Caenorhabditis elegans: one gene and its partner. The protein of the gene in region 1 purifies or fractionates together with the protein of each later gene. This does not show direct contact. Each region holds a gene or a part of one and is shown on either strand. Other genes may lie near its edges.

The links. The genes of interacting proteins can lie anywhere in the genome.
Region 2: the proteins of cpn-4 (region 1) and srh-56 fractionate together in Caenorhabditis elegans (co-fractionation; one large-scale study listed by BioGRID). This does not show direct contact.

Annotation. Positions count from the first base shown.
Region 1 is NC_003279.8:10,924,052-10,927,806, reverse strand, and holds cpn-4 (Calponin-homology (CH) domain-containing protein), read left to right. Parts: upstream 1-2,056; 5' UTR 2,057-2,060; coding exon 2,061-2,174; intron 2,175-2,642; coding exon 2,643-2,725; intron 2,726-3,088; coding exon 3,089-3,215; intron 3,216-3,274; coding exon 3,275-3,352; intron 3,353-3,404; coding exon 3,405-3,467; 3' UTR 3,468-3,567; downstream 3,568-3,755. Other genes in the region: F49D11.10 (WD_REPEATS_REGION domain-containing protein), read left to right, coding at 452-718.
Region 2 is NC_003283.11:2,770,211-2,773,965, forward strand, and holds srh-56 (Serpentine Receptor, class H), read left to right. Parts: upstream 1-1,649; coding exon 1,650-1,995; intron 1,996-2,056; coding exon 2,057-2,247; intron 2,248-2,570; coding exon 2,571-2,801; intron 2,802-2,979; coding exon 2,980-3,058; intron 3,059-3,121; coding exon 3,122-3,309; downstream 3,310-3,755.

The sequences.
Region 1 (3,755 bases):
AGAAAAATGGAGAAATACGAAGAATTTGCAATAAAGTCAAAGTGCGGCACAGAAAAATGGGCGGAGTTAAGACACAAAAACGCGGTAATTCAAATTTGCCAAAGTCCACTGTTTTTTCAAACAATTTTGGCGTATTTTAAACCAAAAAAATCTGCGTTCGGGGGGAATCGAACCCCCGTCGAATGCTTGGAAGGCATCCATGCTGACCATTACACCACGAACGCGGCGGGTAACCGGGGTCTTAATGGGCTTGATGTTGCGGAAGAGAGACCCCCGACAACTGTCAGTTTTATAATGGCTTCCTGGAGGCAAGTATTTCGTCGCGTTCGTGGTGTAATGGTCAGCATGGATGCCTTCCAAGCATTCGACGGGGGTTCGATTCCCCCCGAACGCATTATACATTTTTACATTTTTCTTTTCGATATTCAGGCTAATAATTAACCTTTTCCAGGGAATCATATGTCACCGTCCTGCACACATCAAGAATAGTGGAAGATCAGGAGAGATCGCAGTTCCACAGACTCCATTCCAACAACTTGGCTCAAAATCAACAGCTGGCCCATCCACAGTCACATCGGATCAAGCTTTCGTCCGTCAACCCAGGCCTGAAGCGGCCCGCTTATTCTCCGGACCAGTTCATCAGCTCCCTCCAATCTCGTTCATCGCTCCACTTTTTATCGAAAAATCGTTGCTTCCACCGCCTGTACGTGGTGTCTAGAAGCATCTAGAACACTTTCTGATTCATCGCTCTCTCTTTTTGTTTTTGGTTTTTTTTTTTCACAAGTTTCAATCATTTTTTATTGTTGCCTTTCTTTTTTTCAATTTTTTTCCCTTCCACATATGCTACAATCCTTTTGTTATCACACACACACATTTGTTATCGTTGTTGATTTTATTTGTTCATGAATTCGTTTTTTTTAAATTTTTATTTATTTTGCATGATTTTCTTTCAAAACGTACCTTAAAAAAACAGAAAAAATTTCAATGAAATATTAAACTTGTCCGAGAGAAGTACACACGTTTCGCGAAAATGCACAGACTGTCAACTACCGTAATCGGCATAGGCGTAGGCTTAGGCTTTTTCTCATGTTTAGTCTTAGGCCTAAAATTAGGTTTAGGTGTAGGCTTAGGCGTAGGTTTAGGCTTAGGTTTAGGCCTGGACTTAGGCCTGAGCTTGGTCTTAGGCTTAGGCAGGCCATAAAATTTCTTGTGAAGTCTACAGAAACTCCAAAGAAACCAGTAGAAGTAGAGGTGGAAATTAGGATCGGGCCTTTGCCTGAGCCTAAGCCTAAGCCCTTGCTTAAACCTAATTTTGAATATCAGCCTAAACCAGACAAGCCCAAGCTTAAGCCTAAGCTCAAGCCTGAGCCTAATCTTAAATCTAAGCCTACTGGCAAGTCCAACTCTAGGCCTACTTTCAATCGGGCTTTATCAGCAATTAAAGATTTAATATCTAGAGAATGATGGCAAATACTAACATTTACTTTTATTTTTCAAATTTATCACTTCACTTTCAACACAGACACAGTTGAGTTGCTCAAAAGTTGCAAAGAGTCAATAGGTCAATAATACAGGTTTTTGTGTATCCCCCATCTCTCTCTCAAGTGTCAATCACTTTCAACCGTTCCCTTCCAAAAAAAAAAAACGAAAAAACGTTCTGGAATGTTCTGTGCTCGAGCTCTCACTCTCTTGTTGTTTCGAAATTCATCCCCTCCTTGGGGCTCTGACTCCGCCCATTGAAATTCGGGGGCTCACCTCCCGCGGATGAGTCGGCTCTAGCGTCCACCCACACGCGCAAAAATCAACACTAACCTTTTGGAAATAGTGTACAGATTCGACGAGACGCAGACAGTTTAGTCAAGAATATAAATAGGAGCTCGGTGAGCAAGATCCTAGAGTCAGAGCTCGACGAGCAACAAGACAGGCACAACCAGTTTTGCCACCTCCTTTGTTTTAAGTTTCGAAAATCTTCGAAATTTGATTTTTCTTACTGATTTATACTTTTATACTCTACTTTTTGTTGAAAATTTTTGCCTAAAATTTGAGACTTTCTAGCAAAAATGTCACAAAGTTATCATCGACCAAGACCAGCCGGTATGGCCGGAGCCATTTTGGACAAACAGGCAAGCAAGTTCAATGATGTTGAAGCTGGATACTTGTTGGAATGGATTCGGGTAAGATTTGGGTAGATTTACGGAGTTCAGTGTGGATTTACTAGAGAGTGATGTAGTTTTACTTTATATGGAATTACAAAAGTTTAATGTCTACATATATACATGTAGATTTACGAAGCTCCACATAGATTTGTAAAGTTAAGTGTATACTTACGGTCAGTGAAATGTAGATTCACAAGACTCTGTGTAGATTTATGCAAGTTCAGGTAGATATACGTGATAACATTGTACATAGATATCAGGTAGATTTACAAAACTCCATGTAAGCCTATAAAGTTAAGTGTAGAATTGCCGCTTCAGATTTACAGATATATGCGTAGATTTACGATGATTCATGTAGCTTTACGGAGCTTTTGTAGTATTCACAATTTATTGTAGATTTACGGAGCCTTTTGTAGATTTACAGAGTTTCTTCAAGATTTACTCATCCCCCTGAAAAACACCAATATAATTTCAAATTCTTTTCAGGACTTGACAAAAGAGGATTTCGACTGTGAAGCATCTCGGGACAATTTTCGCGAGCAGCTCAAAGACGGGCAACGATTGTGCAAGTGAGTGTCTTTTTTTTGTCTATTTGTACGTAGAGTTGGGGGATGCAAAATGTCAATAATAATCACGAACTGTTTGGGAAATGTGAGATGCTCTGTGAGCTTAAGGTGATGTGATTTTGAGATTTTATTTTCTGTTTTGTGATTATGTTTGTTTGAACACTTTGGATCCTATTTTCCTAGAACCTAGAACAATAAAGTCTCTAAAAAAAACTGTCTTTACCAGACTTTGTGTTTTTACGAAAAGTTTACGAAAAGTTCATGTAGATTTACGAAAGTTCATGTAGGTTTACGGCTTACAAAACTATGTAGATTTACGGAGCACCTAGCTTTACGAATGAGCTATTTACAGTAACCCTATTCCAGACTCGTCAACGCCATCAAAGCAGGAAGTGTGAAGAAGATCATGAAGCCAATTTCCAATTTCAACTGTCTCGAGAACATTAATCAATTTTCCACTGCCGCCAGAAGTCTCGGAGTCAAGGATGAAGAGGTTTAATCTACCATATACTTTTGGCGCGATGTTCAAAATTCAAATCTTCATTTTTTCAGACATTCCAATCTGTCGACTTGTTCGATGGCCGTGACCTTTTCTCCGTTACAGTAACCCTTCAGAGCTTGGCTAGAAAGGTAATAATTTGGTTTTCATTTGCAAATTGATTTGAAAAACTCCAAATTTCAGGTCGAAAAGCTCGGAATCACGCCACCAAAGCAAGTTTCCAAGGACCAAATCGTCAATCAATAATTTAAATTTTTTCCATTTCATATCGGCTTCAATCTTTTTTCGAAATTTACTTTTATTCACTTTCTGTTCCCAATTCACTTTTTATAAAGATTTTTCTTCCAAATTTTTTCTGAAAAGTTCTGCAATGCCGCCAAGGATTTTCCTGCTGATTTACGGTGCTCAATGTAGATTTACGGGGCTCTATGTAGATTCACGGGGGTTCATGTAGATTTACGAGGATCCATGTAGATTTACGGCGCTCGATGTGGATTTACGGGGCTCTATGTACTTTTACGAGTCTCCTTATAG
Region 2 (3,755 bases), on another chromosome or scaffold:
CAAAAAATGTAGGAACACTGCAGAAAAATAATTTTTTATCCAGACAGTGGTTTTCTTAAAAAAAAACTTCGTACCTATAATTAAATTCTGATACCTCAAAAATTGAAAAATCGACCACACAACAGCTTCAGGACCCCTGAGGTTTTCAAAAACTTTACAAAAATTTACCATACTTTTAAAATAAGTATCAGATTGTTTAAATATTCAAATAACATTTAATTATGTAATTTGATGAAGAAGAAGTTTTTCTCTGAAAGATTCCTGGTCACGAAACATTTACAATTAACCATAAATCAAAAATTCAAGTCAGAAAAGTACTTGAACACGACCTTCTGGAGAAACGATTTCTGAGAAATAAGGAAATTGGGAAACTTGTGTACCCCGATTGATCAAATTAGCAGGTTTGTGGAAATGTATTACATCAACGATCAAATGTTTATCGGCGTGAAACAACTACCGCGCGGCTCATTTTATTGAACTTTTTGGCGAGTTCAGTCACATTTTGAAAGCTTTTACTTCTGAGTTTCATAAGTATGTAGTTTTTTGGAATATAACTAAATCTATTGGTTTCCAAAAAAATCTACTTAGATTTGGTAGAAAGTTCAATTTTTCTAGATTTGTTAGGTCGTCACTAAGTTTGCAAAAATAGCATAAATTTATGACATTTTCGAAGTTTGTTTGCATTTTTCTCGCTTCGGCAGCTAAGAAGCCACAGACAAAACACAGCAGGATACCTGATTTCTACTGCGGTGTAGTAGATTTCTGGTCAAATTAGAAGTCGAACAAATTATGAGGATCTACTTTTTTCAAACAACTATTCGAACTGAATCCGCTGAGTTTCTTCTAGCAATTCCTACAATTGTTTTTTTTGACATGTACCCCAAACCTTTGATTTTCAATTTTGACTTCATCTTCAGCACCGACTACTCTTAGTCCTTTCTTAGCCCGATAATTTGGATCAAACGTTACTTTTAGGTGGATAAGAAGCTCAATTTTTTTGAATAGGCCCTTGTTTGAATAGAATTAAAACCAAGTTTTTGTCCAATTGATAAATTTCCAGCTGTTGAACCTAGGATTCTGAAATGTTGAAATAAAAAGGTTTCTGTAAAAATTGAAGAACTAATTGTAAAGATTTTTCTGGTAAAGCCTCTATTCCGGACAAAAAATCAGGAAAGATGTGGGGTCCCATTTACTTTCCAATTAACCCGGGAAATGTCCGCTGCAAGACATCAGTTTTTTACACTTTTTTGCCGTATTGTTTTGCATCGCCAACCTAGATGATCATTTGATCTGTCACAAAACACATTTCCCTTTTTAAATGTCCCTAATCACTAACACAGCATTTAGCATTACATCGAAACTCCAAGTCAGAGCCTCCTAGAAAAATAAATTTCCGAGAAAAAAAAATTGAAAACTCCGCACCTCAAATTATCAAATTAGCAGGATTACGGTGGTATTACATCAACGATCAAGAATTTTTCGGCGCGTCCAACTCTACCGCGCGGATCATTTTACATGCAAATGGGGCTTTGAACTTTTAGGCTCTGGTTTTCTGGCTTTTTAAGGAATTTTTCTTGTAACGCTTAGCTTGTGAACACTTTCGGAATTCCTATCGAAACCTATTATATTAAACATCTTCCAGGAAACCAATGGCATGGCCAGACAACAACACCTCAAACTGCCGGGAAACCTACTCCTATTTTGGCTCGGCAGACTATCTGCGCAATGCATATCATTTCACAGCACTTTTAACAGTTCCTCTATCCATATTCACATTTTACACAGTTATAACAAAGACGCCAAAGCGGATGAAAAATATGAAAATCCCACTTTTAATATCCCTGGCTTGGAGCACAAATCTCGATTTGATGTTCACAGTGTACTCGGGGCCGTATATATTTTTTCCGAGTGCCTCCGGAGTACCCCTTGGGCTTCTAGGATATTTGGGAGTAGGTGTCAAGTGGCAGTCGTATTGGGGACAGGTTTCCGTCACTAGTAAGTTTTAGGATCTTTTAGGAAATTTAAATATAAATTTCAAATACCACATGTTTTTCAGTGATGGGTGTCTGTTTTATAATGCTCTATGAAAATCAACATAGTCAAATTTCCACGATTCGATTCAAAATCAAACGGAGAAAAACTCGTTTAACATATTTCGCATTAAACTATTTATTCACATTTGTTGTTATGCTTCCATTTTATCTAGACGACACTGACCAATTGAAAATGAGACAGAAGGTCTTGGAGGTTAGTAAAATGTACTAAAATGCCCATTCAGAGATATTAGAAATGTTCAAAAAATTTTATAAAATTTTATATTTAAAGTCAAAAATGTGAAAACTCTCAGTTTTCACATATCCTAATTTTGGAAGTCGACCAAAAGATTTTTTTTGAATTAATTGCGTTCTTATTAATAATATTGAAACATTCTAGGAGTTCAGATCTGCGGGAATTTTCAATTTTTTTCAAAAATGTCAATTTTTGAATAACTAAAAACTTTTGAAGTGTTTATTATATTTTTCGGTCGTGTGTATTTAACACCCGTCTTCAAATTCAACTTAATTTTACAGAGAATCCCCTGTCCGACGAGCGAATTCTGGGACCCAAAAACCTATGTACTGCTGCAGGGCGGAGAGGTCTTGCCATTCTGGTCAATCACAATTGGTTTTGGATTTGTTATTTTCCAAACTTTTTTCTTTTTGTTACACACCGTTTATCACCTCACACTAGTATCAAGTGCCAAAATATCGGCGGCGACGAAGAATCTTCAGCGAAAGTTTCTGAAGAATGTTTCTATTCAGGTGAGTATAACTATAACTGAAAATTAACTGGAATAGCCAAATGAAACTGCAAAAAAATGCAAAAAAAATTTAAATGGGTTTGTTTCAATTTTAAAAATTTAAAAATGTTTTTGACAAATTGAAAAACCACAAAATTTTTAAAATTTTAAACATTTAATTCTAGCATGTGTTTTTTTAGATCTCAATTCCATGGATTGCCATTGCATTTCCTGTGGCCTACACTATGTATGCAGACAAAATGAATTACTATAATCAAGGTGAGAAAGTGCAAATTATTTAAAAAAGCCAAAACATGGCTAACACGTTCCAAACTTTTGCAGCCTACAACAACAACGCTATGCTAATTATGGCAAATCACGGACTTCTATGCACCTGTTGCACCCTTTTTATTTACAAACCATACAGAGATTTCACTAAAAGTCTGATCCCTGGACAACGATTTTCACAACGGAGAATGACTATCATCGTGGAACCTGTGACGTCTCCACATGGAAGTGTGTCTAATTAGTTTTTTTTAAATTTTCGTTTTATTTGCCAAGCAAGATTTTTTTACAAATATTTAGTAAATATGTTTTTTTTGGACAAAACTTGACTATTTTCACTCGGGAAACAGATGCGCATCTTGCTAGTGAGAGCCATTTTGGCAATTTTGGCATATTCATCAATTTTGAAAAATTTTGGCAATTTCACGAATTTCAGCAATTTTGACAATTTATCCATATCGGCAAAGTTGTCAATTTTGGTAATTTCGATAACTCTAGGATTTCTGACAATTTTTTTCAATGTTCGCAAATTCAAACTTTTTGGCAGTTTTAAAATATTTGGGCAATTTGGACAAACTTAGAACTTTCACCAATTTCAGCAGTATCATGAATTTTGGCAATTTCGGAAGTTTTTTAACATTTTGGGCAGTCTTGGCAATTTAAGATTTTTGAAAATTTTCGGCATTTTTGA